7 linked regions of the Mus musculus genome follow. The protein of the gene in region 7 purifies or fractionates together with the protein of the main gene of each other region. This does not show direct contact. Links are inferred from orthologs where the notes say so. Each region holds a gene or a part of one and is shown on either strand. Other genes may lie near its edges.

Region 1 (4,530 bases), on a different chromosome or scaffold from region 7:
AGTTTTAGGTCTTTTCCTGTATCCTAGAGGGACCCCCCCCCCCCACCAAAGCCTGCATTAGATCTTCAAGTGTAGTTTCAAGCAGGAATTTAAGGGAAGCAAGCAATTGTGAGCAAAGAACTTCATCCAACTTTTTTTCTTCCACAGCAAACACACCCCTATACAGTGTTAAATACATGACCCAAACATCAGCTATCACTCACTACACTTACCAAACTAGCCAAACATAAATCCTCTTACCTCTTTAAGAACCTTAGTACTTACAATATTTTGGCAAGAATCAGATCTTAGGAATTATTCAGTGACAACTTAAAATGTGGGGTTCCAACATTAAAATATTTTAAAAGGTAAAAAGAAAAATCTTTTCTGAAAAGCTTGATGCCATTAGGCTTTAGGCTTCCAAAATCCGAGTCAAATTTTTACCATCTCGTCAAACCCAGTAAGATAGCAGGTACTCTGAGCCCACCCACCAGGTTATACATACTCTCACTCAATCATGTAAGAATTGAATTCTTTATTTGTGATATCCATAAACGTTGCTATTCTATGTTTCTATCCAGGAAGGCATTTTCTTCTATTATCAGTTTTTGTTTTTTTTTTATAAACAACAACTTGAATTCTATTGCATGAAGGGCTACAAATACACGTTAACCAAGCAGAATACAGATATTTTGTTTTACAACTTGCACCTAAAACCCCAGTACACACAGCTGCTTCAGTAGCTACCGGAGCAGTTTGGGGCTACTGCCCAAGCTATGCATAGCAGTTTACATGTTCAAATCTCACGTAGAAAAAGTGACTGATGCGGGCTGTTAACTACACTCCCGGGAAGCCCGTCTCAGCTACAAGTAAATGTGGACCTTTCAAGTCTGCAGAATTCTGATGGCAAACTGCTAAATCTGATGAAATTGTCCTGAACAAGTAAGTTGGGTTTTTCTTAACCAACCGTCTTGCAGCTATACTGCCACTCTACCAGCAGATGGTGCTACATCCGTTGGACTTAAAAGAGGACAAAGTTCAGACTTAGGGAAGAAACGCTTTTTTTAAACCTGCTCTGAAAATACATTTAAAAAAAACTCATTTAGTGTTAGGGTAAAATAGAACCCTTATTTGTAACCATTCATTACAGACAAACCAATAAGGAAGAAACTAGGTCACCTAAAAAAGTTTTAAACAGTTTATATGAATGAGAACACATGCTTTAAACACAAACTATTTTTTTTAAACTACACAGTACATGTTTTGAAGTAAATTCTCATAGAAAGAACCAACCATGTCAAGATGATAAGCAAATCGCTTATTACAAAGAGATGGATGCACAGGACTAAACAGCCACATCCACCACTTCAGAAAGATTTTGTCTGTAAAAGGTAAATTCAACATCACTAACTGGGCAAACAGGAAGGGGAAAAAAAAAAAAAAAGAGCCCACAAGACCTCCTTTAAGCGTCTCGAAGTACACATCAAAACCTAACAAAAATATCCTTTAAAACGGTAAGGAGTGGATCCTAGGAAAAAAAAAATGTTAGACATGTACGGTCAAACACAATGATTTATTAAAAATAAAACGTAAAAATGATTTTTGTACATATGCTTCCAAATTCCAGGCATGGGATCCAAGTAGGTTTCATAGAAAACGCTGTAGCCAGGTATCAAGTCCTTACAACAAAGTAAACTACCCTCCCGCCCAACCCCCACCCAGGTGTTGCTACAGAATCAGCAAGTTCACTCCCGCCCGCCCACCCGCCCCCCCAAAAAACACAAATTAAAACAAGACATTTTTTTGCTAGTATAAAAACGACCAAGGTCCAAGTAATAATAAAAAAATAGAGTCCATCAATGACTGTAACACAAAAATGTGTGTGTGTGGGGCCGAGTCCACCTTCAGGGGGGGTAACGGGCAGGCAAGCGGGGGGTGTCGTGCCCCCCAGGGTGAGCGGCTTCCCCCGAGGGCACCTGGGGCGGGCGCGGAGGGCGACGATGGCCGCGCCCGCCGCCGGCATCCGGAACCCGGCTTCTAGAACGAGCCTCCGCCGTAGCCGCCGCCGTAGCCGCCTCTGTACGGTCCACTGTTGCTGCGGCCGCCCCAGCTGCCGCCGCCGCCGCCGCCTCCGCCGCTCTTCATCGGCCCGTACGAGGACTGGTGCTGGCTGTAGCTGCCGAAGCCGCCGAAGCCGTTGCCGTAGTCGCTGCCGCCGTATGAGCCGCCGCCGCCGCCACCGCCCCCGTAGGCGCCGTAGCCCCCGTAGCCGCCGTAGCTGTTGTAGCCGCCGCCGCCGCCACCGCCGCCCTTGGCCAGCCCGTTCTGGTCTCGGCCGCCGCCGCCGCCTCCGCCGCCGCGGCCCCGGCCTCCGCCGCGCCCGCCCCGGGCCGCCCGCGCACCCCCGCCGCCCGCGTGGATATCCTCCTTGGGCACCGCCTTCTTCACCTCCACGCGGTGGCCCTGGATCGGGTGGAACTTGACCACCGCGGCCTTGTCGGCCGCGTCGTGGCTCTGGAAGTAGACGAAGCCGAAGCCGCGCTTCTTGCCCGACTGCTTGTCGGCAATGATCTCCGCCTTCTCCACCGCGCCGAACTGCGAGAAGTGCTCGATCAGGTCGCCCTCCGCCACGTCGCCCTTGAGGCCGCCCACGAACAGCTTCTTCACCTTGGCGTGCGCCCCGGGCCGCGCCGAATCCTCCCGCGACACGGCGCGCTTCAGCTCCACCGTGTTGCCGTCCACCGCGTGCGGCGACGCGGCCATGGCGGCATCCGCCTCCTCCACGTTCGAGTAGGTCACGAAGCCGAAGCAGCGGGAGCGCTTCGTCTGGGGGTTCACCACCACCACGCAGTCCGTCAGCGTCCCGAAGGCCTCGAAGTGGCCGCGCAGCCCCGACTCACTCGTCTGCACATTGAGGCCGCCGATGAACAGCTTACAGAGCTGCGAGTTCTCCATGTCGGCCGCCCGGGCCCTGCCCCCGCCCTGCGCGCTCCGCCGCGTCGCCGTCGCCCGTTAGCGGTCGCCGAGGCCTCGTCCGAGCCCGGGCCCGGCCGCCGCCGCCACCGCCGGCGGGGAAGGGGCGGGAGGGGGAGGGAAGGGGCGCGCTGCCGGCCCGAGGGCGAGCCGAGGACGCTGGAACCCGACCGGGGCCGCCGCGGCCGCCACCTCCGCTCCCCTATCGGGACACCACACAAAGAGGCCGCTGAAGGCGCGCGCACCCTCCCCGCGCGGTGCGTCACAAGCGACGCCGGGACGCCGGCCAATCGCCTGGCCGCTCGCCTTGGTCCCGCCCACCGCGCCGCAGCGCCGCTCTCGGTCGCGGCCTCCCCGCCCTCCGCGGTTTCCCCACCACCCCGGTCCGGGCCTGGGGCTCCTCGGCGACCGCCGCTCCTTCCGCCTCCGCGCTCGCACTCGACGCGGGGCCGCGGGGCCGCGGGGCCCGGGAGACCGCCCGCCAGAGCCCTCCGCGCGTCTCCGTGGAGCGTTTCCTGGCGACCGCGCGGCTGTTCCCGCAGTCGTCCCTCCCTCCCTCCCCTCGCCGGATGCCCAGGCCCAGCTCCGCAGTGGCGTTCGCGCCAGCCCCTTGAGGGACGTGACCTGCCGGCCAATCAGCGGCTGCTCCTCAGACCCACTTCCGTTTTCCGCTGCCGCGGGACGGGCGCGCTCCTCTCGAGCACTGGCCCGGCGCCTCCCGTGCGGAACCCTCTGTCGCCCGCACGCTTCGTCCTCGCGGGAATTCTGGCCGTTCCCAACGGATCAGCCCGGGTGGCCCCCGCGCGGACTTTTTAAAAACTTGACTGTTGGGGGCCGGCCCGCACCCGGCGTCGGCTCCCCTAGGGGCGGCACAAAGATGGAGGGCCTCGGCCTGACCCCAAGGCGGTTATTGGCCGTTTACGGTGGGCTGGTGGCTCCATTAATCCAATGCGACTCTTGCCCCGTGCCACTCTGCCCGCCGAAGCAAGCCCATGAGAGGGAACACCACCAAAGCCCTTGAGACCGGGTAACCCAGACCAGGCCCGAGCCAGGCCTGCGGTAGCCGCTGGCGATGCTCCGCCCTGTGAACTCAGCAGCGAGCTCCTGCGGACATGTTCCTTGCGAGCCACGCAGGATTTATTCGGCCCCATCCTTACACTGCTAGCCTTGAGCCAGGCTGACCTCGAACTCCCAAGCACTAGATTATAAGCATGCCCTATGAGATTTCCTATTTTTATTGCCTTCTCACCGCCATCCCAACTGTGGTTTGGGAATTAAACCCAGGGGACTTAACTAGAGTTGGAGCAGTGTCCCCCGACACGTCCTATCCCCATTCTGTCCCGTTACTTCTCATCTCCCTCATCTGGTGCACCCCTGTGACCTGCAGCCAGCAGCTTCTACTGGGCTGCCAGCTTCGTGAATATGAACAGCCATTTTGCCAACTTTATCCATATAACTAGATTTTAAAAAAAAACTGTCAGGGACTGTGCTTAGTGTTCACGGATAAGATCTCAATTTCTACAGTGTCTTAGGGTTGTAGAAATAAGGCAAGCTGGGAAGGAACGGCCTTATTTGGTT
Region 2 (4,466 bases), on a different chromosome or scaffold from region 7:
GCACAAGCAGGACCAAGTCCCTGCAACCAAAGGGAGGACAAGGGAGTAAGGGTCCTCAGGTGAGGAGAGAACGAAGCCTAAGGGCTCATGGGAGGCGGGGAAGAGGAGCAGCCCATCTATCCTGACCTGTAGATTCGACCCCGGGGCCTGCTGTTAAAACCACTGTAGAATCGAGATCGGGAGCTGTTGTAGTTGGTAGTCCGGGCACGGTATCGGGAGCGCGGGAAACCCCGGTCTGTTGTGCTGATGCCTGGTCTGTTGGTTCGTTTGGGAATCACCTGAAAAGGACAGAGAACACAAAGGCTTGGAGTCAAGCCAGAGACTCTGTACAGGACGGATAGCCAGGGCACTATGCTTACCTTGATTTGTCTTCCTCTGAACAGGGACTCATCTAAGGCCAGGGACGTCCTCACTGACTCTTTGTCCGAGAACTCTATATATGCAAACCTGGAAAGAATAATCTGGCCATTTTATCAGACTTTACAAAGAGCTTACAGGTTAAACCCAACTTGTAATACAGTTAACTGGAAGTATAGTATGCTAACATTTTAAAAACTTCTAAACATTATTGAGTATAATGAACAGTTTATAATCCCAGCTTCTCAGTAGGCTGAGACAGGGGAACCTAAGTTCATGGTCTGTGCAAGCTACAGAGCTGCTAAGACCAACCTGGGCCACTTAAGAGAACCCATTTCACAATAAAAAGTTTGAAAAGGTGTGAGTGTATGACATGCCTCAGTAAGAGGACCTGCCTAGCACACATTCTAAGTCCAAAGGTTCAGTCTCCAGTAGCACCAAAATTAAATCAACAAGACCCAGATTTCTATATAGCCATACACAAACAGCTGGTGCTGACTAATGCTGCCCTCCCTTTCTAGTTTACAATCCCACCCCTGCCCAGTCTTTAGTTTATTACCTGGTCTCTGAAGGCATTTAATATACAACTACTGATATATAGAGACACTTAACAGGCAAAACCTACTTGTTTTAATAAGCAATTACTATTCTTTGGGAAATGTTTTTTTTTGGTTTTGTTGTTTTTTTGAGACAGGGTTTCTCTGTGTAACCCTGGCTGTCCTGGAACTCACTTTGTAGACCAGGCTGGCCTCAGAAATCCCTGCCTCTGTCTCCCAAGTGCTGGGATTAAAGGCGTGCACCACCACGCCCAGCTCAAGTTAGGCCAGTCATGGTGGTATAAACCTGAAGTCTAATCCCAGTTTAATTCTGAGTTTAAGGCCAGCCTGGTCTATAGAGGTAATTCCAGTACAGCCAGGGTTAAACAGAGAAACTCTGACTTGAAAACAAAACCAACCGACCACATATATAAGAACCTTTAAAACGAGTTAACACTCTTTTGACTAGATTGACAGCACACATCAGCATGTTCAAGGTCCTAGGTTCGATTCCGAGCTCATGTATTTTTCACGTATTTTTAAAATGTGAGTAAAATGATCTCAACTTATCCTCCTACTTACCCTTTGGGATGGCCACTAAATTTGTCACAGAGTATAGTAACACGGTTGACTGAACCACAGCCATGAAAATGGGCTTCCAGCTCTTCTGCTGTTGCACCATAGTCCACCTAAGGAAAGGAACACTTGACAAGTACTGGGGAAACTCCAATTTGAACACATAACAAAGTAAGGAATAAGAAACAAAAGTCCCCCCCAAAACCCAAAGCAGACTATTCCTTGATACATACATTGCCAACGTAGATAGAGCGGGCATCAGCCTCCATCTTCTCCTCAAGAGACATGATCACTGGGCCAGCTTTTAGAGGGGAAAAAAATTACCTTAGGCAAGCACATCTTCTGCTCGATCAATACACACACACTTCCACCCGCAGGCTAAATTTTGGGTATACTTCTACTATACCAATTACCTATAACAGTGTTTAGCACATAGTAGGTTTCAATATACATTAGAGAAACTACCTCTTAAAAGACCATAAAAAACGGTGTTAAGATTTTACGTTTTTCAAGTCGAGTCTCTATTCAGCTTTAGCTGAAATGCCTCAAAGCAAACAAAACAGAATGGACTGAAATCTAACATTTTTAAAGAACTCCCTCCCTTACAGCCACCAGTCAGTTCCTAAGTCCTAACTAAAGGGTCTCCAACTGAAAAGTGTTAAGACTTGAAGGTCAAATGCCAGCTGATAATCGCCCCAAGAAGGGTACAGACAAACTAAGAACAAAGAGAAACACATTTATAAATGAGACAAAGGAAGGCACAAGACTATCTCTTCACCAAAACGGCTTGTGTCTAACAAAGGTCAGTAGAACACGTAATGGACTATGACCACAGCACCTGCCCAGAAAAAATTGCTCAGACGAGCAGCTTCATTCAAGGTCCCCGGCTTCTGCCACGCTGCAGTCTTCCCCCACTACCCTATCAACCAAAGATCCGGACTGTGCGTGCATGAGGCGATCTACTCACCATTGCCTGGGGGTGGACTCATATTCATCTGCTTCTCTACCTCGTTTTGTAGCTCCTTTAGCTTCTCAGCCTCTTCCTCCATCTCCCTGACTCGAGCTTTGATCGCTTCTAGCTCCTACAATGAATGAGCAGGGCATGCAGTTAACCAGACGCAGGGGCTGTGCCGTACATTTTGTCTGGGCCCGGCCACAGCCGTGCTCGGCCATTTCCCTCGCCTCGTGCGAGGGTCGTGATTGAAATAAAAAATATTATTTAAAAAAAACACGCAGAAAAAATGAAAAGAGTCAATTTACCTTCTCTAGAGCCACCCTAGACACCCATGATGCCCCACCAGGCCGCTCACGAACGGCCTCGGCCCGCCACCAGCCACGTTATTCCCCGCCCAACCCCACCCCCCGCCTGCCTGCCTCCTGTCCGTGCTCTGGGCCTCCCATGACCCGGCCCGCTCGCTCGCCCTCCTCCCCTCACCGGGTCCTCAATGGCGCCGTCGCCGGGGTCGGCCTCAACCAGTCCCGGCTCTTCCTCCTCCTCCTGACTGCCGGGGGCTCCCGAGCCGGGCCCAGGACCCGGAGCTCCCGGAGGGGCGCGGGGCCGGGGCGGCTCCTCTTCGGGCTCGGGCTCCGGCAGCAGCTCCCCAGGCTCCAGCTCCTCAGACTCCAGGCCGTTCCCGTAGTCCCCTGCGCCCCCCGGGTCCCCCTCCCCGGCCTCCCCACCGGCCCCGGGCACAAGATGGCGCCGCCGCCCCGGCCCGGAGCCCCGACCGCCCGCAGCCCCCGCTGCTGCTGCCGCCGCCGCCGCCGCCGCCATCGCCGCTCAGACTGGGGCCCGCCGATCGGCGATTGGAGAACTGAGCCGGCCACGCCGAGGATTCATTAGTCAGTCAGCCTGCCCGTTACCCCGAGCTCGAATACTATTGGGGAATTCTACTTGGCAATCAAACGAGGCCCCACCTCTAAGGCGGGCCACTGTGCCAAATTCTCTAAACCCGGTAGGTGAAATATGCCTGTCAATCAACACACCCCACCTCCTGTTGAGTCCTTAGGTAACAATACGCCCGCACTGTGACGACCTTCCGTTCATCCTCCACCCATGGGCGGGCCCACAACATGGAGGATGCTCCGCAATTGGCCTCTGACTGGTGAGGCGAAAAGGACCAATCTTCCAAACGCCTCACCGAAGTGGCCCATTCTTGGATGCCGATTGGCTTATGGGATTCGACGGGCAGACACCCGTTGTGCGACAGGTGAACCTTGCTCTCGAAAGGATGGCCTGGCTTAAAACTAGGGAATTCCTAGGCGGAGTGTGGTGGCGTACGCCTTTAATACCAGCGCTCAGAAAGCGGAGGCAAGTAGATTTCTGTGAGTTCAAAACTAGACTACTTACAGAATGAGTTCCCAGGCCAGTCAACACTACATAGAAAAGTAACCTCAAAAATAAAAAAAAAGTAAGGATCAGCAAACCTCACTCCCACTAGGAGTTGTGTCCCGTTGTTCTGCATAGGTTATTGTTTTAGACTAAGATTCAGCCAGTTTTCTTGCCTAACTTATTACAACACCCTCTTTTTCTTGGCCAGCTGACGTGTCAAAAATTCCTTACTTAGGGCTAGTTTGCAAGTATGGTCTCCACACTTTCCCCGGTTTACCCGAGGTTCACAGCTTTAGTCCCATATGTGCAGTTTCTCCTAAACCAGACCACCTCAGTGAGAATGCCTTCCACCAGGTTTCCCATTTTATCTTGAGACAAGTGGGCCTATTTCCACTGCACTCTTAACCGTTCTGTGCTCCTTCCTAGCTAAGCAGAGTGCCCGCAGACAAGGGGCCAAGTCCTGTTTATATTTCTATCCGCAAATTTGTGTGATTATTGGGTGACTGCAACTTCTAGGTGTAATTTCCTAGCTTCCAAACCACTTTGAAGACCACTGGGGGAAATTCTCCATGCAAATTCTCAAGACAGCTCTGCACCTTCAAATAACCATGAGATCTGGCCCTGGAGACGATAGTATGATACCCACACTCCAGAAGAAATTCCAC
Region 3 (4,039 bases), about 67 Mb from region 7:
ACCTATAAAGCATGTCTCCAACCTAATCCACAAGGTTACTGGAATGTTAACTGAAACAATGGCACTTCAACCATGTACCATATACCATAATTCTAGAACCACCAGTGTATATCCATTATATACAGTAATGCCTTCTTTGCTCCTTTCATTTTCATTCTAATTAGATAACTGTTCTTTGTTGTCTTACACTATTTTCTAAAATAGTTTAAGCCATTTAAAGTAGAAAACATACCCAACAAAAAGCTTTATTTGCCTACTATACTCCAAAGGAAATGATTTCAAATAGCTTTCACTCATGAAGACTAAACATCAGCTATATGAACAAAGGTGAACTAATTGTAGGTAACCAATTACTTAAAATACAAAGATACAAATGATTCCTGTTCCCACTACACAATAAACCCTTTAACTTACCACTCCAAGTGCTGGTCTTTCCAGTTCTCTCTTGCCTTTGACCTTTCTCTCCAGTATAGTAGAGTGAAACAGATCGTCCATCAATTTCTGCCCCCTGCTTTTCTTCCAAATTTTTCTCTGCATCAGCTTCAGACTTAAATTCAATATAAGCAATCCTGAAAGAGTACAAGACAATTCAGTTACTACGTTAGAGAAAATATTACTCAAGCATCAGTCATGAAGGACTTAGTCACATGTGCTTTTACTGTTCTTTTACTATGTATTAGCTCATCTTCATCCTTTAAACTGGTGAGGAGGAAAAAGAGCCAACACAATAGACTGAACTGCCTAGAATCACATTTCTCTCATAAAATAGGGAAGGATAGTACTTGTGGCAAAAGATGCCAATTTGGATTGAGCCTGTAAAATTGATCACAGCTTCAAAACCCATCAGTTGAGCATTTTTAATGTCAGAACTTGGGAGGTAGAGGCCAGAGGACCAGATATTCAATTTTCTGGTTATGAAGTTAAGTTTGAAGCAGCAGACTAGAGACTGTCAAGGACAAGGAGAGGGGAAGAAGACACTAAACTTAATAAAACTTTAACACTCAAAGACACAAAACATACCCTTTACTTTTCCCATCCTGGCTGACTAATCTGATCTCCATGGCGTCTTCAAACACTTCCTTTAATTCATCCTCAGTGATGTTGAAAGAGAGGTTTTTGGCTAGAAGTGTTCTTGCAGCTCGAACTATGTTGGAAAAAGATTTAATTAAGTACATCAATTTACAAGTCACAAGAGAATAAAGCAAATAATTCCTATAAAGTACAAGGATATATGCTAAAAAAAAAAAATGGTATAAAGGGATGGAGAGGTGGCTCAATGGTTACTAACCATTTGCATGAAGAGTACCCATGTTCAATTGTCACCTGATGACTCACAAACCCCTGTCCAGTTTCAGATGAGGCTCTCCTGGCTTCCCTGGACACCAGACTTATCTCCTTCCTACTTGTTTACATGTATATCATGTTCCTTAGACCATATGTATTAAGTTGTATATGGAACAAGTCTATTTAGACTTAGTTTCCATCTCTAAGATACCTCATCACTCATATGGTTCATTCTACATCAAAAGCCTAGATCCAGTAAGCATATAACATAGACTGCAGATTGAGCACACAGCAACCTTGTAAAATGAGCAAAAGGGGACAGAGGATATGTAGCAGTTTTAAGAGTGATTGCCTAGCAGGGCAGTGGTGACTCACGCCTTTAATCCCAGCACTTGGGAGGCAGGCAGATTTCTGAGTTCAAGGCTAGCTTGGTCTCCAGGACAGCCAGGGCTACACAGAAAAACCCTGTCTTGAGAAAAAAACAAACAAAAAAACCCAACAAATTTGCCTAGCATGTGAAAAGCCCACGTTCAATTTTCAGCACAACTAAGAAACAAACACTTAAAATCCAAATTCTGAAACTCAAAATATAGGGATCAAGAATTCATTTAAGAGATACGTAAGCTTCAAGCATGTCACGATACACATGTGGTCAGAGGATAAGCTAAAACTTTTTTTCCGAGACAGGGTTTCTCTGTGTAGCCCTGGATGTCCTGGAACTCACTCTGTAGACCAGGCTGGCCTCGAACTCTGAAATCTGCCTGCCTCTGTCTCCCAAATGCTGGGATTAAAGGTTCTTCTCTCTTCATGTGGCTTCTAGAGATCAAACATTTTGCAGCAAGCATCTTTACTCACTAAGCTATTCCTCCTGTCAGCCCTGACATTATATATCCCAGGAATCAAACCTGTCAACAAGCACATGACCTATGACATCTCATTGGTTCACAATGAGGATGAAACTAAGGAAGAGGCACCAGACTGCCTAAGTCTGTTAGTATCCAGTCACCCAGACCCCCTTACATACCTTTCTTACTATCTCTTCCTTTTGGTTTTTCTAGTTTAATTTCATTGCCAAACACTTTTAAACCAGTGAGCTCCAAGGCCTTTTCTAGGTCTTCAGCAGACTCAAAGTCCACATAACCAAATTTCCTTGAAGATGGAAAAAACAAGATTACAGGTATGAGAAGGTGATCTGCACTTATACCATGTGGCACACACACAGAGCATCTACAGCACTAACAAAAATAAAACTAGATCACCCTTATCTTCCATAAAACCAAGTCCAAAGGCTGGAGAGATGGCTCAGCGGGTAAGCACATTGACTGCTCTTCTGAAGGTCCTGAGTTCAAATCCCAGCAACCACATGGTGGCTCACCACCACCCATAATGAGACCTAATGCCCTCTTCTGATGCATCTTAAGTCAGCTACAGTGTACTTATGTATAACAACAAATAAATCTTTGGGCCAGAGCAAGCAAGGACTGAGAGCAGAGCGAGCTGAGATCCTAAAAATTCAATTCCCAACAACCACATGAAGGCTCAAAACCATCTGGACAGCTACAGTGTGCTCATATACATAAACAAATCTTAAAGAAAAAAAAACAAAAAACAAAACAAGTCCATGTACCAAGACATTACAACAAATTCACCTCGATTTCTTCATTCAGTATATTGTAACTAACAGCAGTAGCTAGCATGGACCCCGCTAAAAGTACAGAGAATACTTTTAGCTAAAAGCATATGACTATGCAGATCCATAGTTGTAGATACTGCACAAAATTTTATGTGTTTAATATCTTTTCTTCTTTAAATTTTATTTTATCTTTATCAAGTCAAACACAGGAACTTCAAATTGCAGGCCCTATGACTCGATGATTTAGTTCAATACTATAGTCTTTCTTACTGCAGCTCCTTAACTGTACTTAAGGCCACGAGAGGAGACAACTGACTTTTACTAACATAGTTAGATATAGCCCCATGTTTAAAGGCAGGGAAGAATACAACTGGAAAGTAAAAATTCTAGCTGATACACATGTAACATTCAATTAAAACTTACCTATTTGTACCAGTTCTGACATCCACAACAGCAAGATCATTTTTAGCAAAAAGTTCACTGATGGCAAATTTTAATTCATTAACAGACTTGTTTGGATTAAGGTTTCCAATGAACAGATTGAAAGGTGTAGTTGGTTCTGAGCCTGCACACACAAAAAATGAACTTTCAGCCCACTTAAGCACACAACAAATTTCATCATAAACTATAAAGCACATCAGCATATTTCATTTCAACCCCATGGTTCAGTATTAAGTCCCTTTGTCACTCATCACTTGTGCTAGTGCTACTCTGATCTGTTTCCCCAGTTTTGCAGGCTTACCTTCTACTTTCTGTTTCTTGGCTTCAGGGGCTTCTTTCTGCTTGGTCATCTCCTTCTTCCGTTTTCCAGGTGCTGCTTTAACAGGTTCTAGATGTTTTAAAATGCCATTCATGAGTAAGCAGACACTTTAGCATAGCCAGTAAGCCTTACTTAGGTCAGCATACTTTAAAAGTTAATATGGTTACCTTCCTCCTCTTCTTCCTCATCATCATCTTCGTCATCCTCTTCCTCATCATCCTCATCCTCGTCATCTTCATCCTCTTCCTCATCATCCTCCTCCTCAGCCACACTCTTGGCTTTCATAGGAACAACTTTTGCAGGAGTTTTCTTTCCTTTGGCTGTTGTGATCTCCATAACTTCTTCCTCAGAGTCTGGAAGAA
Region 4 (3,494 bases), on a different chromosome or scaffold from region 7:
TAGACCAGGCTGGCCTCGAACTCAGAAATCCGCCTGCCTCTGCCTGGTTGCAGAGGTGCGCCACCACGCCCGGCTGATGTTTTTTAAGTAAAGATTTTATTATGTGGGCAGGCTGATTTTTAAACCTGACAGTCCTGCAAAATTCTAGAATTACAGGAATGTAGTTTAACATCTTTTATTCTCATCTCAGCAGTGAAGTTGTTTTGTTTGTTTCATTTTCTTTCTGCTTGTGTAAGAATCTCATGTAGTCCAGGCTGACTCAAACTCCATCTGTAGCTAGTACTGACCTTTGAGCTTCCTGATCCTCCAGTCTACTGCTGCTTCCCAAATGTGGAGATTATAGTCCTAGGCTAATTGGCTGCCATGCTCGGTTTTATGTGGTGCTGGGGATTGAACCCAAGCCTTTGGCCGTGTTAAACAAGCCTACCAACTGTGATACTTTCCCAGCCAGACCAGGAAAGAGCCTGGAGGTTGTGAGGGGCCAGGTTTCATGCTTCGGGAAGTCTGGAGTTGAGTAAGGTGGAGTCTGCTGAAAAGTGACTGCTCAGAGAGGGATGTTTGGAGTGTGAGGCTCACTGATGCTCTCTAATCTTTTTCCAGGGAAAGATTTTCAAGGAAGCAAACTTAAAGTGTCTCTTGCCCGAAAGAAGCCTCCAATGAACAGCATGCGGGGAGGCATGCCACCTCGTGAGGGCAGGGGGATGCCACCACCACTTCGTGGAGGTATTAGGCACTTTGTTTTAGCTATTGTGCTGTTATGTTAAACGGGGTTGGGTTGGGTTGGTTTTGGTTTTTTTCCCTTGAGAAACTTAGTTGAATAATAAACAAAGAAAAGGTATGTAAAATTGATACTAGGCCATTGAAAGCCAACACTGCATTAATAATATGGGTTAACTAGTTAGAGGGAGTGGAAGCTCTAGAGAACATCTGCCCAGATGTCAATTTCCTTCTATGAAAATGCCATAGTTGGAGGCTACATGAAATGACGCAGAAAGAATAGTGTGTGGATAGCACTGTGAGTTTACAGGAGAGGGCACCATGACAAAGCTGCTATAGAGAGGTGATGAACTGTTTGTTATTGCAGGTCCTGGTGGCCCAGGAGGCCCTGGAGGACCCATGGGTCGCATGGGAGGCCGTGGAGGAGACAGAGGGGGCTTCCCTCCAAGAGGGCCCCGAGGCTCCAGAGGAAACCCCTCTGGAGGAGGAAATGTCCAGCACCGAGCTGGAGACTGGCAGTGTCCCAATCCGTATGTACTTCTCCCAGCAGATTGCGTGCTAGTGATGACACCCTCTTCCCACTCTGGGACGGGACGGGACGGGACGGGACGGGACGGGGGGGGGGGGGGGGGGGGGGACACACACTCAGCACTGACTGCTTCTGGAGGTTCAGGACGGCCTGGGGTTGTCTGCAGGTCCTTGTGCTTTGTGCCTGAAACTCCATAACTGTGTAGAGTGTGGTGTGAATCTCCACCTTTCTCAGTTCTCTTGGTGATTTCTATTGTGATATAACTTTATTCAGGGGCTGTGGAAACCAGAACTTCGCTTGGAGAACAGAATGCAACCAGTGTAAGGCCCCTAAGCCCGAGGGCTTCCTCCCGCCACCCTTTCCACCTCCGGGTAGGTACAGGTTTTCTGGAGCACTTCAGCTTCCTGGTGATTGAGTAGTGTCTGCTCTAGGAGAAGGATTAGCAGATCTACCACAGCAGGTCTTCAGTCTCGGCTTTTACTCCTGACTCACCTGTCACTCTTGTCTCTGCCTTAGGTGGTGATCGTGGACGAGGTGGCCCTGGTGGCATGCGAGGAGGAAGAGGAGGACTCATGGACCGTGGTGGTCCTGGAGGAATGTTCAGAGGTGGCAGAGGTGGAGACAGAGGAGGCTTCCGAGGTGGCCGTGGAATGGACCGAGGTGGCTTTGGTGGAGGAAGACGAGGTGGTCCTGGGGGGCCTCCTGGACCTTTAATGGAACAGATGGGAGGAAGAAGAGGCGGACGTGGAGGACCTGGGAAAATGGATAAGTATGTGGTGGGAGAGCACTGCCCCTTCCCAACCTCTGCTGCAGTGAGTCCTGGGGTGTCTGGGGTCTCTCACAGGGTTTTCTGTCCTTTCTCATTTTGACCTAAGGGTCCCTTTGCTTTGCAGAGGCGAGCACCGTCAGGAACGCAGAGACCGGCCCTACTAGAGACCTGCAGAGCTGCATTGACGACCAGATTTATTTTTTAAACCAGAAAATGTTTTAAATTTATAATTCCATATTTATAATGTTGGCGACAACATTATGATTATTCCTTGTCTGTACTTTAGTATTTTCACCATTTGTGAAGAAACATTAAAACAAGTTAAATAGTAGTGTGCTGAGTTTTTTTTTGTTGTTGTTGTTTTTTGATTTGTTCTTTTTTTTTTCCTTTTTAAGATGGTTGTTTTAAGACTTAACAATGGGAACCCCTTGTGAGCATGCTCAGTATCATTGTGGAGAACCAAGAGGGCCTCTAATTGTAACAATGTTCATGGTTGTGATTTTTTTTTTTAAATAAAATTCCAAATGTTTATAAACTGTCATCCTCCTCCTCTGTTCTCGTGTATGTCCAGTTCTTTCCAGCCCTCGCTAGATGGGAGCAGAAGCTTGTGATGCCCTCGAAGATGCCCACTGGAAACCTGTGCTCGCATCTCCAGCTCTTGGCTTTACTGGGTCATTTGTTCCCTTCCAGAAGGCTCTGAGATGACTTATCATCATTCCAACTCCCACTATCTGAATTCACAGGATCGCCCTGTGCCTTTGCTGGGATAGCAGACCTGATCGTGTCCTCTGCAGTGCCAAGTGGTCACTCTAGTCCTTTGCTGCCTTCTTCCGGACTTCAAAATGGGGCTTTCCCACCCAGCTCATTTATTTATTTGGTCTTTTCGAGACAGAAACCTCTGTGTAGCCCTGGCTGTCCTGGAACTCACTCTGTAGGCCAGGCTGGCCTCGAACTCAGAGATCCGCCTGCCTCTGCCTCCCAATTGCTGGGATTAAAGGCATGAGCCACCACTGCCCAGTTTATTTTTTGTTTTTTAAGAGGGCTTTTCTTTGTAATCTCTGTTGTCCTGGAACTTGCTCTGTAGACCAGGTTAGCCTCACAGAGTGGGCCCACCCTGTGCTTTTAACTCAATTGGCACCCTTCTTCCAAGAGCTGCCTCTGCTTCAGTATGCCAGGAAGTAGGGCTTGGTTCTGTCACAGCAAGTAACTATTAATACCCCACACCAGCCTCCATCTTAGTTTATCTGTCCATTTCTAGTAATTATAAGGCTATGACCACCCACAAACGAACTTGACTCCCTTTCCCCATCCTTGCCGTTTTTTTCAGAGGCCAGAGCACTTTCAGGACACTGGACACAAGACCTTCATTGGTTCCCCAGCATGCCTGAGTGAACTATCAAGACCTCTGATCTCAACTATTGTCTCACCACAACCCTGCTCTTCCTTTTATCACTGCAGTCAAGCCCCACGGGACAGCAC
Region 5 (4,039 bases), on a different chromosome or scaffold from region 7:
GTGGAAAGAATTGACCCTTACAAGTTATTCTGCCTTATACAAAAGAAGGTGGCATGTACCCACTCCCTTCAGAAAAATAAGTTAACCTAATAAAAATGAGTAATTTAGAATTATGTTTGAGGGACGAATAGTCCAGTGGTTGAATATTTACCTAGTATGCATCAGGTCCTAAATTCAACCCCTAGTACCAAAAAAATAAAGCCCACAACAAAGAACTGCACTTCTATCTGCTGCAAACACTGGTTGGCAGACTGGGTTCAGCTCAGAGACATGGAGCTCAGCAGTGGGATTACTGTCTAGCACACACAGGACATAAACCAGATCACAAACAGAAAAGAGCAAGAATGCCTCAAATTCGTATTTTTTTGCTGCACAATTTTGGGCAATTCATTTAATTCCAAATAAGACAGGCCAGTACCACCTCTACATAGGGAGAAAAGTGGTGAGAACTGAATAAGGGCAGGGTCTGGAGAGATGACCCATAAAAAAAGAATTAACTTGGGCACAGTGCATAAAATGCAACCATCATTAAAAATGGCTATTCTGAAAAATTACAAGTGGTAACACACTTACAATTGGACCATCTCCTCTTTCCAAGTATGGCTGGTGGTTTATATGAACAATCGCAGGCAGCAAATACTGGGGAGGAATGAGAATCAACAATGTCATACAAACCTAGGCCATTAGGCTAACAGGTACAAGCTAGTCAGTCATTAACAATGCCCTAATGGGAAAGGGGAAAATAGAACAATTACCATACTCCAGGGCTGAAATTTTTTGTTTTTTTCTTTGGAGACAGTGTTTCACTATGTAGCACTCTCTGGCCATCCTGGAACTCACTCCATAGACCAAGCTGGTTCCAGAGAGCAGTGCACCTGCCTCTGCCTCCCTAGTGCTAGGATTAAAAGTAGGTCTCACCATGCCCTGCTTGCTCACAGTGCTTTAACTACAAGTTTAAGAACTAAGGAAATGTGAGGCAGGCATGGTGGCACGCCTTTAATCCAGCACTTGGAAGGGGGCAGGGGTAGGTGGTTCTGAGCTCAAGGCTACCCTGGTCTACAGAGCAACAGCCAGAAGTACACAGAGAAACCCTGTCTCGGGAGAAAACAACCAACCAAAACCCCCCAAGAACTGAGAAAATGTAAGTCAACTAGGACAACAAAAGGAGTTATATGTCAAATACTTGGTACCTACCGCCAATGTCTTCCCAGAGCCAGTCTGTGCAATGCCAACCATATCCCTGCCACTAAGAGCCAAAGGAAATCCCTGGCACTGAATGGGAGTGGGTTCTGTAAAGTGCTGATCCATCAGCACATCCATCACATACTCTGTAAGAAAGTGAACACATTACTATCTTTACTAGTAAACTAAGGGTACATATGAAGTCAGTCTGTCTGTCTGTCTGTCTGTCTCTCTCTCTCTCTCTCTCCCTCTCCCTCTCCCTCTCCCTCTCCCTCTCCCTCTCCCTCTCTCTCTCTCTCTCTCTCTCTCTCTCTCTCTCTCTCTCTCTCTTTTCCCCCCCGAGACAGGTTTTCTCTGTGTAACCCTGGCTGTCCTGGAACTTACTCTGTAGACCAGGCTGGCCTCGAACTCAGAGATCCACCTGCCTCTGACTCCCAAGTGATGGGATTAAAGGTGTGCACCACCACGTCCCGCTATATGAAGTCTTAAAAAGTAGCAGTTACTGATGGTAAGACTTAATTTGCTTTATTATTCTCAGAGAACTGTAAACCCAATCTCTGGCCAGCCTGACACTACCCAACACTATCCTAACACAACAGGTCATGGCTCATTTACTGTTCCCAAAGTTCCTACTATATCCTAGAAGCAATGTTCTGCTGTAGTTTAAAATGCTAGGGCAAAATACTAGTAAAAGTTTTGGCATTAAAAACAAAGCAGAGGCTGAGGAGATAGAGTGCTTGCTGCTCCTGCAGAGAACCCAAGATCTACCAACTGCCTGGAATTCCAACTTCAGATAATATGATGCCTTCTTCTGAACTCCGCAGGAACCTCACTCCATAGAAATAATCTTTTAAAACACAAAAATTTGTGCAACATGATATCTATCAATACTAATAATCACCATTCTAAAACATTGGGAATATAGAAAATTACTATTCAAAGCCAGGTGTGGTGGCACACAACTTTAATCCTAGCACTTGGGGTGCAGAGGCAGGTAGATCTTTGAGCTCCAGGACAGTCTGATCTACATAGTGAGTCTTTTATCTTAAAAAATAGAAACAAAATAATAAGTTTTTTGGACTTTATTATCTTGGTTGTGTGCCAGTATCCATCTATGTCCTTTTTTTCATGTTTATTTGGTTTCCAAAATTTGAACTCAAGTAGTTCAAACACTCTTACCCACCTGACTGGCTCCATCTAAATTACTATCTTTTTCTCCCTCTTCTTCTTCTTTAAAAAAAAAAAAAAAAGACTCCGTTCTCTGTGTAGCCCTAGCTGTCCTGGAACTCGGGAAATCTGCCTGCCTCTGCCTCCTGAGTGCTGGGATCTAAGGCATGTATGTACTGCCACCACCAACTGGCTACTATCTTTCTATATAAAAGTTTCTATTTGTCTTTTAGACAAAATCCTAAGCCTTTCAAAACCTTTATGCACCTTACGTAATACAGGATTAAACAGCACTTACGTGGAAAGTTAGCATGATGGAAGGCAAAGACAGGTTTTGGACAAACATCTCCCCCTCTCACTGTAATCTCTTTCTTACGCCGTAGCTCATCAACCTCATACTGTGTGAGAGAAGAATGAAGACAATAAGAATTCTCAATTTAGACTCTTTAGTATTGCAGTGATATAGGCTAATGCTTTTTGCATGAATCCAAGTTTGTGATGCACACGACTAAGAGGAGAAAACCCTCAAGAGTAATTCCTAGCCAGGCTAGGTGGTACTTTGTCACCCTGCACAGCAGCTAGAAGGATAACCTACCTCAAGTTCAAACCTAACCTGGGCTACAAAACAGGTTCCAGACCAGCCAGGGTTACCTATTGAGACAGAACTTGGGCCAAATTGCTCTATTATATCATTTTTTCTGGGTAAGTAATATTCTTTTTCTTTTCTTTTTTTTTTTTTTTTTTTTGGTTTTTCAAGACAGGGTTTCTCTGTGTAGCCCTGGCTGTCCTGGAATTCGCGCTTTGTAGACCAGGCTGGCCTCGAACTCAGAAATCCGCCTGCCTCTGCATCCTGAGTGCTGGGATTAAAGGCGTGCGCCACCACGCCCAGCGGTAAGTAATATTCTTGGGTAGAATACAGCACCAGGTGGTTTGGTTAAAAGCACACAAATACACAATATGAAGTCAGTTCTATAAGCGTAGGTGAATGGCAGTGTAAACTTTACATGCATGTGGTGCTAGGCTGGAGAGCAGAGCTGCTAAAAGAAAACCTGCGTCATGTGGCTGAGCACCTGTCTTCATGGACAAAGCTCAGGGTTTGACCAAGTGTGGCTGCCCAAAGACCCCTGCAGCCTGGAGCTAAAGTAGCAGGACAGCAAGTTCAAGACCAGCCTGGATCTACAGTGGACTATTCTACAAATACAATAATTCCATCCTACAAAAGACACAGAGGCAAGGCATGGTGATGCAATTCTTTAGTCCTAGTACTCAGGAGACAGATGCAGAGTGATCTCTGAGCTGGAGGCCAGCCTGGTCTACAAAGCGAGTTCCAGGACATCAAAGGAACACACAAGAGAAACCCTGTCTCAGAAAACAAACAAAGAAATACCCCCACAAAAAAACAAAACAAGCAAACCCACAACACATTAAAAAGATCTGCCATAATATAAAATCAAATATAAAACAATACTTGAAATATTACCCTATATTTAAACACTCCCCCCTCCCCCCTTTCTTACCGGAGTCAGTCTTGCTACTTCTGGATGCTCAACATAAAAATTCTTCTCAAATTTAGGGAGTTCACTCAAATCCCACTTCTTTTTTCGTAACCGCTCCCCAGGATTACCAAACTTCTTAGGGGGAAGCCCACTACCACCTCTTGCTCCAAACCTAGAGACACCAGAAAATGTAG
Region 6 (4,592 bases), on a different chromosome or scaffold from region 7:
GTGTGTTTCAGTGTTTCCTTGTTTCTAAGCTTCTGTTCTGTGTCATATTAGCAGTTTTTCTAACTTGAAGGAACACAGTCACATCCTAACTGGTTTTATGCCTGCCAGTCAGCGCATCCTTTGCAAATGTGACTCCCTCTGTCAATGATCATAAGTCTGGAGTGGGCCCTCATAATATCTGAGGTTTCTTCCCAACAGACCTGCTACTCACTTCCTTCTACGTTTCCAAAAGTTCCATACCCCGTATGTTTTCCAGAGTTAATAGCTCCACCTACTCCACTCACCAAGTTCTTGAAGAGTCTTTCCCACTCATCTTTTACCTAGCTATTTCCACTAGGTCCTCCTGCCTCAACAACTCAGGGAACATTTTGGGGTCTCCTGGGCTTGAATAACAGTTCCTTTTCCTGTGCTTCCACATCACCTGGTGCATTACTGCTCACCAGCCAGGCTAAACCATCTAAACATAGTTCATATACACCATGGCCTCTCCAGAGCTGATCCTCTGGGCTGAAATACAACTTTGGGGAAGGGGACAAAAGGCTTACTTCCCTCTTGTTGGTCTTTCTCCATAGAACTACTGCCACCTAGGGGCAAAAGGCCGGCACTGCATCTCACTCACCATTCTGCATTTAACCAGCTTGAACACACTGAAGGTGATGGGAACACCAATCATTCTGGAGGAAGTGGAAAAGCCTTGGCATTTGGGGGCAGCTTCAAATGGTGTTTGTGCTCTGAGCTGGTCCACACAGCTTTCCAGGAAAAGAGCAGAAAGGTCAGAAAAGCGCATAGTGGGACATCCCAAACTAAGGGCTTCTGATTTTAATGTTTAGAACCATTTGAACAGCCCAGCATAATTTTTCTTTTCATGCCCCAAGACTTCTTTTAATCAGGAGAAACATAGATCTGCATCTTCGAAAAGTCAACTCCTGCTGGTGTGCAAAGGACGGAGAGAAGCGGTGTGAGAAGCCACTGCGTAAGCACAGGAATGGGTATGTTCTTCAGTCTCTCCCTTTCTACTGCTGCCCAGGGACCTATCCCTGAACACAGCCAAACTGAAGTTGTTTCCCTCAAACCAGCACTTCAACAGAAACATTTCCTATTTCTCTCAGCTTCTTCACACTCCTTGAAGTCACAGCATTAAGAAAATATTTTTAGATTTATGTGTGTTTTGTTTGTATGGGAACCACATGTATGCTTGATGTTCTGCAAAGTCAGAAGAGGGAATGGGATCCTTTGGAACTGGAGTTATGGATGGCTGTGAGCCATCATGTAGGTGCGAGGAACTGAACACAGGTCCTCTGCAAGAGTAACAAGTGCTCCTGTTCACTGAGCCGCCTCTCCAGCCTCACACCATTTTCAAAACCAGACCTCAACAGTTTTGCATACACCAGTATTCAATATGTTGGCGGTATCTAGGACTTGCTTTCAAACCCTGCATTGGCCACTACAGTGCAAGAGATTATCCTGTTTCACTTTCTTCTCTAAAATGGATACTGTAACATCTACCTTAGGGGCTGGGGACATGCCCGTGAAGTATGAACACATGGTCCATTGTTGAAAGATTCTGGTGATTATTTTAACTGCATATTCCATGTGTACTGGGGGTTTCCTCACATCTTTACATCTGCACAATACTTTCCCCATGCTATTTCACAGGCATTTCAATACGGCTTATTCAAGATCTTAGGTGCTTCACCCAGATCATCGGATAGGGCTGGAAGAACTTTTCCAGGAAGACTGCTTAAAGATTTCTCACCTCTCTGTGTATGTGTTTTGGTGGAGGGAAAAAAACGAGAGAAAGAACCCTAGCAACGCCTCAATGTGTTTTTGGTACTCACAACTGGAAGAAGTAGGAGGCAGAGATGCTAATACTCAGTAGGCAGAAGAAGCCAGGCATGCTATCCAACTTTCTGCAATGCATAGGGCAGCCAGGCCCTCCCAACCAACCATTATCTGACTCTAACTGCCTGTAACAAGGAGGTTAAGAAAGCTTTAACATCCGATCTTGCCTCTTCTAGAGCTCTGGCCAGCGGTGTCCCACATGGACACTTCCGATAATGGAAGCTCTGTCTAGTGCAAAAAAGTTCTCCACCTGCTCTCCACATAGTAGGCGTCAAACCCATTTTGGCATGCTTTAGCAGCAGAAGACAAGAGAAAGGGAAGATCCATCATCACTACCCATTGTTCAACAGCGTGCAATTGCCTTTTTAATATTTACACGTTATTTTACAAATGAAAACGTCCCTAAAACAGCTTTGTTAGAGATGGCGATCAAAGAAAAAATTTCCCCTTTCTCTTCTAGACTTCTACACACAGACGAAAGGTTTGCACACTTCTAAAAGGACCTCATGATTCGTCGCGGTGTGTCCAGAAAATCGTCCACAAAAGAAATCTATGGGATTTCCCGAGGGAGCAAGTCTGTGGGCCATGACCTCTGGCGCCCAAGGTCCTCGCTCCACTCTTCCACCCCCGGATCACCGGGCCTCCGAGATCAACTATCCGGGGCCCCCCAAGCCTCGGAGCCCGGCCCCCCAAAGCGCGTGCCCACGCTGTGTCCTTCTCCCGCCTCTCTCGCGGGAGCCCAGAGGAATCTGGCCCGGCGGAGGCTTGTCGCCAACCTGAATCAAACAGAGTCGGTTCCCATTCGCCCAGCCGCGGCCCACACGCGCGTCTCCATACCCAGGCCTACCGCGGCCTGGGGCCTTCGGCCGGTGCAGGCCCGGCGGACGCCCGTGGGGCTAGGCGAGCTCAGGCCCTAGCGCGGCCTACTCTTTCGGAAGTCGCCGAAGCCTCCGGCCTCACCTGAACACGGGCGGGAAGGCCCGGGACTCTGCTCCGGGGCGGGCGGCGCGGCGATAACGGCTCCGCACGGCCTCGGCAGCGGTGGCGGCGGCGGCGGCGGCGGCAGAGCGGTAGCGGTAGCGGTAGCGGCGACGGCGACGGCGACGGCGACGGCGACGGCGACGGCTGCGGCTCCTCCTCAGCGCGCACGACCCGCTCCCCGGCCCCGCGGCCCAGACACGCCCCCTGCTCAGCGCGCTCTGCTATTGGTCAGTGTCTTTGAAGAAGCGACGCTCATTGGTTGGCATGGCTGTCGCGGTACGCGGGTGCGCGCGGCGTAGGCGGGACTTCCTGTCGGCGTCGTCCGCGGTGGACCAAGGCGCCCAGTGGAGTCGCGAAGTGGCTGGCGATGGCCGCGGAGAGGGTGAGTTGGAGCCTGGCCCGCAGTGGACGCCGTCTGGACGTCGAGGCCAAAGAGTGGCGCTCTTTATAGAACGCACGTCGTGTGATCCTCACAATGCGGGCTGTGCAGCCGCTTACGTCCAGAGAAAGCAAGTTGGTCATCGGGAGCCCTCGCTAGGAGGACAGGATCCCCGATTCGAATCCCGGCCCGGACATTTCCGGTCTGCCTGCAGTTGAGCACCGGCTGACGTCACTGAGCCGGGCCTCAGTTTTGTTATCTGGTGAAGCGGGTTAAAGGATGTGGTCAGCATGGTCAGCCTCTGGGAATCTAAAGTTAAAATTTCTTGGTTTTAAGATTTTTCTTAGTGTGTATGCATGGGTGTTCAGCCTGCATGTATGTTAACCCTGTGCACCATATGCGTGTAGTGCAGATGGGAGTCAGAGAGAAGGTCGGATCCTCCGGGGGACTATTGTTAACTGCGTTTGGGAGCCGACTACTGAACCCATGTCTTCTGTAAAAGCAGCCAGTGATCTTAATTGCTGAGCCATCTTTCCAGCCCCACTTCCTTCGAAATTTAAAATGCCTACTATGTGCCAGGCAGTCGGGCAGTGACCAGAAAAACAACTGCCTGTGCCTTTTGGAGGCTGCTGTTCTGGACTAGTGCTATCAGAAACGTATATGCCACCCTGTTTGATTGAAAACTTCTCTATTGTCTCTACCTCTGTCCACCGTTTTTTAGCGTGTTTGTTTTCTTTTAGTCGGGATCTTCCTAAGTAGTCCTGGCTTGGAACTTATAAATCACGCTGACCATTGCCTCATAGAGATCTGCCTGCCTCTGTTTCCTGATTGCTGGGGTTTAGGGTGATGTTTCATATGATCCAGGTTGGCCTTAAACTTTCTGTGTAACGAAGGATGTCAGTGAAATGATCCTTTTGCTTTCATCTCCCAAGTTCTAGGATTACAGGCCTGCAACACAGCCGCTGCGTGTAGGTAACCTTTTAAAAGTAGTTCTACAGGATTTGAAAAAAAGTTATATTCAAAATTTTTATATTATGTATGTATTTGTTTGTATGTATGTACGTGTTTTTAAAGGATGGTGTTTGTGTATATGTGTATAATATGTATATATTATAATATGCATGTGTTTGTGTGACCATCTATGTGAGAGTCAAAGGGTTACTTGGAGGCGTCAGTTCTTCCGTCATAAGAGATATGGGGGTTGAACTCAGGTTTACACTCAGCAACCAATGTCTGTTCAGCTGAGTCATCTTTATAGCCTGCGATGTCCTTTGTAAAAAAAAAAATATTTATTCACTTAACATCCCAATTGCTGCCCCCACTCCTGGTCCCCTTCTCCTTCTCCTCTGAGAGGGTGGAGCCCCTCACCTTGGCATATCAAGTCTCTACA
Region 7 (4,039 bases):
AAAAGTCTGTCCAGAATGAGGGTAGCAATACAGAATATGTGAGACCCTCTCTGTAACAACAACCAAAAACAAAACAAAAAAAACCCACTTGTTGGAGGCTATTGCTGTGGTTACCTGAGACACACTCAACCAAACAGAAACCATGAGATCATTAACCCTGAGAAAACATAGAATAGATGATATCCATGTTAGATGATAGGCTTATATTCTTTTTATTGAACACTAAGATTAAGACCTATCAGGTATGTTAGGATACAATAGGCTCTGTACCTGTTTTACTGACAGACTTTAATTTGTACCATATATAACAGTGGCTCAATTCATTTGATCAGGAGAGTTAGAAGAAGGTTCTGAAATACTTTGTAAAGAATTCTGCAACTTAACAAAAATACTTATATTTAGTCTATGGAAAACTTTGCTGTATAATTTGTAGTCGGTAGTTTTCACTTGTTTTTTATTTTGAATCAGCTCCTCACCATGTAGCTCTGACTTGTGTAGAACTGACATTTTGTGTTCAGTCTGTTTTTACTTTGATACTTTAAAGCATACTGAAGTAGTTGTGACAGACTAATGGACTTGTAAGTAAGGCTTTTTTTATAAACCTTGCTCTCATTAAAAGTTGTTTTGGAACCCTGGGCTCACATAATCTTAAACTTCAGAGTTAATTAAGTAGAAATATCTTAAATCTAAGCAGTGACTGTATATTCAATTTTGTCTTATACTTGTTTTCAGTTTTTTAAATTAATTTAATGACATGCAAGTAATGAGAGTTTAGTGGCTAGAGAGATGGCACAGAGGTTAAGAGCCCACTGGATGCTCTTCAAGAGGTCCTGAGTTCAATTGCCAGCAACTACATGGTGGTGCACAACCATTTATAATGTGATCTGGTCCCCATTTCTTGGCCTACATGCATATATTCAGGGAGAATACTGCATACATAATCTTTTTTAAAATGTCAATATTGTGCCAGTCTTTATCAAAATGATTAGTTGTTAGGTTGTAGAATTTTCTTTGGTTAGTGAATAGAATGGGAAGGTCTGTGCTATAATTTATATTAATGGTTCTTTAGTACATAAATATCTAGTTGTTACGGTTCTTTACACAGCTCATTTCTGTCTTTGGTAATCTTTATAGGGATTTTCGCACGTGAACATGGATCTAATAAGAAATTAGCAGCACAGTCATGTGCCCTCTCACTTGTCCGACAGCTCTATCATCTTGGAGTGATTGAGGCTTACTCTGGGCTTACAAAGAAGAAAGAAGGAGAGAGAGTAAGTTCTTAGGCATAAATGTAGTATTTGGCTAAAGGAGTTGAATTTATAGTTTGAGGGATGAGTTGGAAGAGGGGCATTATTAGAATGGGGATGGAAATTAGGGTTTTTAAATGCCAGACAAATAATGTTTTTTTCTGAGCTATATTCTGAGCTCAGCACTTAGTGATGACGAAATTTAAATGCTGTACTAATCAGTATTCTGAACTCGTGCTTATAGTGGCCATTGAGTGAGTTGTTGATGAAATTCTCACTTAGAGTTGTTGGTTTCTGGCAATTAGTAATAATAGCCCTAATGTCAGCTATATGTTAATTTAGGTGAAATTATTAGTTTTAAATTATAATAGTGGATATATTGATGATTTTCTTTACTCATTCTTTGTAGGTGGAGCCTTACAAAGTTTTCCTTTCTCCAGATTTGGAGCTTCAGCTGCAAAATGTGGTTCAAGAGCTAGATCTTGAAATTGTGCCCCCAGTAAGCATATATACAGCTTTGTAGTTTACCTTGTTTTAGAGTCTTTCCTTAGGAGCATATCTCCTTTATTTATTTTTGCTTTTTTTGTTTGTTTGTTTGTTTTAAATAGCCTGTTGATCCTTCTATGCCAGTTATACTTAACATTGGGAAATTGGCTCATTTTGAACCATCTCAGAGACAAAATGCAGTGGGAGTGGTTCCTTGGTCACCTCCACAATCCAACTGGAATCCTTGGACAAGTAGCAACATTGATGAGGGACCCCTTGCTTATGTAAGTGCAATATGGGTTCTAAGATCAGTTCTTTATTTTCCTTTGCATCTTTCTTTAGGTCAGAGTTAAATAGATTTTGTTTGCTTTCTTTTTACAGGCTTCTACAGAACAAATAAGCATGGACCTTAAGAATGAATTAACATACCAGATGGAACAAGATCATAATTTACAAAGTGTGAGTGTTGAAGATCTTATACATAAATTGTCTAGAGCTTAAATACATTGTAGTTAGATTGAATGACAGGTTTGTACCAAATTGGTAATTATAGTTAGGATAGTGGCTATTCAGGACCTATGAGTGAATTGGACTACTTTCTTGGTTTTTCAGTATTAGGTGGTTTGAATACTTTTACAGCAAATGTAAAGTGATAACATTGTTTAACAAGTCATTACAAAATGGAAAATACTTTTATACTGTTTATGAAGGCTTAAGAATGAACTGGAGTATGAAGATCACATTTTATAGAAATTTTAGTGGGAATCAATTTTTATTAGAAAACGATGTTTTTATTCTTTGAAATACTTCAAGTACAGAAAGCAGTACTTTTTTATGGAAATGATTTAAATGACTTAAACTTTGCTGAACCAGGTGTTACAAGAGAGAGAGTTGCTGCCTGTGAAGAAATTTGAAGCTGAAATTCTGGAAGCCATTAGTTCAAATTCAGTTGTGATTATCCGAGGGGCTACTGGTTGTGGTAAAACCACACAAGTTCCACAGTACATTTTGGATGACTTTATCCAGAATGACAGAGCAGCCGAATGCAATATTGTTGTGACACAGGTAAGTCATTGTGTGAGTTTGTCTTGGAGTTTATAGAGTTCTAGCAATTGTTTGAGATTTTATGGTCAAGTAAGTTTTCAAGATTGTTAAAACGCAAACACACTCTCCTACCCACAACCCCTTGGGGATTTGACCTAAAAAGCCTTGAACATGCTGGACATACACCCTTAAGAATGAGTTGTAGCATTCACTTTTCTAAATTTCTTTTCCTTTTTATTTTAAGTTTATTTAATTTAAGTATGTGAATACACTGTCAACTATATTCAGACACAAGAGGGCATCTGACCCCGTTACACAGATGGTAGTGAGCCACCATTTATTTGGTTTCTGGGAATTGAACTCAGGCCTTCTGGAAGAACAGTCAATGCTCTTAACCGTGGAGCTATCTCCAACCCACTGTTTCTAATTTCAAAGGAAGATTTCATAAAATTGGCTATTCAAGTCCCATAAGAACTTTTTAAACTGCTCAGGATTAGGGGGTGGGGGCAGTAGTTACTAGGAGTATTGATTATCAAGTTAAACTGTTGGTTGTAACCCTGAACAAACCATTTATGACTTGGGAGTGTAATGAACCTTATTTTGTGTGCATTTACAAAGGGTATTTCTGCATTGGTAGTATATATCATGCACTTAGTTGCTTTATTTGTAAGTGCACACAAATTTGGATTTAGCAGGAAACTTGTAGGGCAGTGTTACTCTGCATTTAACTATGAATGCACATTTTATTTAAAGTATATTAACAGCTTAAAGTGTAAATAAAGCAGTCTTCATTCAGCCATCAAAATGGTATGTGGGAATTGTTTAGCAACACTTGAGTTCATCTTAGGCTTAGACTATGAAGTATAAATGTGGGCTTGCAGAAAGAACATTAGATAGCCAGACATGTTTTGCCTGTGAAAGAGAAGACATTAAATCCAAGAATGTAAAAGAGAACAACTTCTTTACAGTAAGATAAATGAATATTACGCCTACATTTCTGCATAAACACCTGTATGTGTGTGCAAGGTTGACATTCTTGAGCATGCTCACTTAGAGATTTATTTTAAAACATTCAAAAATGTTGGGCTGGAACATCTTAGGGGAAGAAATTGACTGTTAGAATGGTCAGAATTTTAAGTAGATTATTAGAGGGGCTGATAAATCTTAACTATAGTTAGTTGCTGTAGGGAAGTTTTATGAAACGGATTTTTAGTAGCATAATTTAAAGTTTCTTAATATTCTCAAGATATATGTGGTTTAAC

What was found.
Region 1: the proteins of Dhx9 (region 7) and Hnrnpa0 purify together in Homo sapiens (affinity purification with mass spectrometry; 3 studies listed by BioGRID and IntAct, with this or other methods). This does not show direct contact. The link is inferred for Mus musculus from reciprocal best matches to the Homo sapiens genes DHX9 and HNRNPA0.
Region 2: the proteins of Dhx9 (region 7) and Pabpn1 purify together in Homo sapiens (affinity purification with mass spectrometry; 4 studies listed by BioGRID and IntAct, with this or other methods). This does not show direct contact. The link is inferred for Mus musculus from reciprocal best matches to the Homo sapiens genes DHX9 and PABPN1.
Region 3: the proteins of Dhx9 (region 7) and Ncl purify together in Homo sapiens (affinity purification with western blotting; 3 studies listed by BioGRID, with this or other methods). This does not show direct contact. The link is inferred for Mus musculus from reciprocal best matches to the Homo sapiens genes DHX9 and NCL.
Region 4: the proteins of Dhx9 (region 7) and Ewsr1 purify together in Homo sapiens (affinity purification with mass spectrometry; 3 studies listed by BioGRID, with this or other methods). This does not show direct contact. The link is inferred for Mus musculus from reciprocal best matches to the Homo sapiens genes DHX9 and EWSR1.
Region 5: the proteins of Dhx9 (region 7) and Ddx17 fractionate together in Homo sapiens (co-fractionation; 3 studies listed by BioGRID and IntAct, with this or other methods). This does not show direct contact. The link is inferred for Mus musculus from reciprocal best matches to the Homo sapiens genes DHX9 and DDX17.
Region 6: the proteins of Dhx9 (region 7) and Elavl1 purify together in Homo sapiens (affinity purification with mass spectrometry; 3 studies listed by BioGRID and IntAct, with this or other methods). This does not show direct contact. The link is inferred for Mus musculus from reciprocal best matches to the Homo sapiens genes DHX9 and ELAVL1.

Annotation. Positions count from the first base shown.
Region 1 is NC_000079.6:58,125,380-58,129,909, forward strand, and holds Hnrnpa0 (heterogeneous nuclear ribonucleoprotein A0), read right to left. Parts: upstream 3,178-4,530; 5' UTR 2,935-3,177; coding exon 2,017-2,934; 3' UTR 500-2,016; downstream 1-499. UniProt on the Homo sapiens protein: mRNA-binding component of ribonucleosomes. Specifically binds AU-rich element (ARE)-containing mRNAs. Involved in post-transcriptional regulation of cytokines mRNAs.
Region 2 is NC_000080.6:54,892,933-54,897,398, reverse strand, and holds the start of Pabpn1 (polyadenylate-binding protein 2), read right to left. Parts: upstream 3,257-4,466; 5' UTR 3,244-3,256; coding exon 2,905-3,243; intron 2,552-2,904; coding exon 2,437-2,551; intron 1,771-2,436; coding exon 1,703-1,770; intron 1,583-1,702; coding exon 1,476-1,582; intron 448-1,475; coding exon 360-447; intron 279-359; coding exon 127-278; intron 1-126.
Region 3 is NC_000067.6:86,352,712-86,356,750, forward strand, and holds part of Ncl (nucleolin), read right to left. Parts: intron 4,031-4,039; coding exon 3,845-4,030; intron 3,747-3,844; coding exon 3,660-3,746; intron 3,617-3,659; exon of another isoform or gene 3,549-3,616; intron 3,483-3,548; coding exon 3,341-3,482; intron 2,434-3,340; coding exon 2,309-2,433; intron 1,145-2,308; coding exon 1,021-1,144; intron 570-1,020; coding exon 415-569; intron 1-414. UniProt on the Homo sapiens protein: Nucleolin is the major nucleolar protein of growing eukaryotic cells. It is found associated with intranucleolar chromatin and pre-ribosomal particles. It induces chromatin decondensation by binding to histone H1.
Region 4 is NC_000077.6:5,068,749-5,072,242, reverse strand, and holds the end of Ewsr1 (RNA-binding protein EWS), read left to right. Parts: intron 1-600; coding exon 601-723; intron 724-1,084; coding exon 1,085-1,247; intron 1,248-1,519; coding exon 1,520-1,617; intron 1,618-1,762; coding exon 1,763-2,015; intron 2,016-2,121; coding exon of another isoform or gene 2,122-2,139; coding exon 2,140-2,179; 3' UTR 2,180-2,556; downstream 2,557-3,494. UniProt on the Homo sapiens protein: Binds to ssRNA containing the consensus sequence 5'-AGGUAA-3'. Might normally function as a transcriptional repressor. EWS-fusion-proteins (EFPS) may play a role in the tumorigenic process.
Region 5 is NC_000081.6:79,539,840-79,543,878, forward strand, and holds part of Ddx17 (probable ATP-dependent RNA helicase DDX17), read right to left. Parts: intron 4,018-4,039; coding exon 3,867-4,017; intron 2,748-3,866; coding exon 2,648-2,747; intron 1,329-2,647; coding exon 1,195-1,328; intron 640-1,194; coding exon 574-639; intron 1-573. UniProt on the Homo sapiens protein: As an RNA helicase, unwinds RNA and alters RNA structures through ATP binding and hydrolysis.
Region 6 is NC_000074.6:4,322,084-4,326,675, forward strand, and holds the start of Elavl1 (ELAV-like protein 1), read right to left. Parts: upstream 3,018-4,592; 5' UTR 2,803-3,017; intron 750-2,802; exon of another isoform or gene 620-749; intron 1-619. Other genes in the region: Ccl25 (C-C motif chemokine 25), read left to right, coding at 3,299-3,328. UniProt on the Homo sapiens protein: RNA-binding protein that binds to the 3'-UTR region of mRNAs and increases their stability.
Region 7 is NC_000067.6:153,470,379-153,474,417, reverse strand, and holds part of Dhx9 (ATP-dependent RNA helicase A), read left to right. Parts: intron 1-1,134; coding exon 1,135-1,271; intron 1,272-1,656; coding exon 1,657-1,746; intron 1,747-1,855; coding exon 1,856-2,017; intron 2,018-2,114; coding exon 2,115-2,192; intron 2,193-2,606; coding exon 2,607-2,798; intron 2,799-4,039. UniProt on the Homo sapiens protein: Multifunctional ATP-dependent nucleic acid helicase that unwinds DNA and RNA in a 3' to 5' direction and that plays important roles in many processes, such as DNA replication, transcriptional activation, post-transcriptional RNA regulation, mRNA translation and RNA-mediated gene silencing.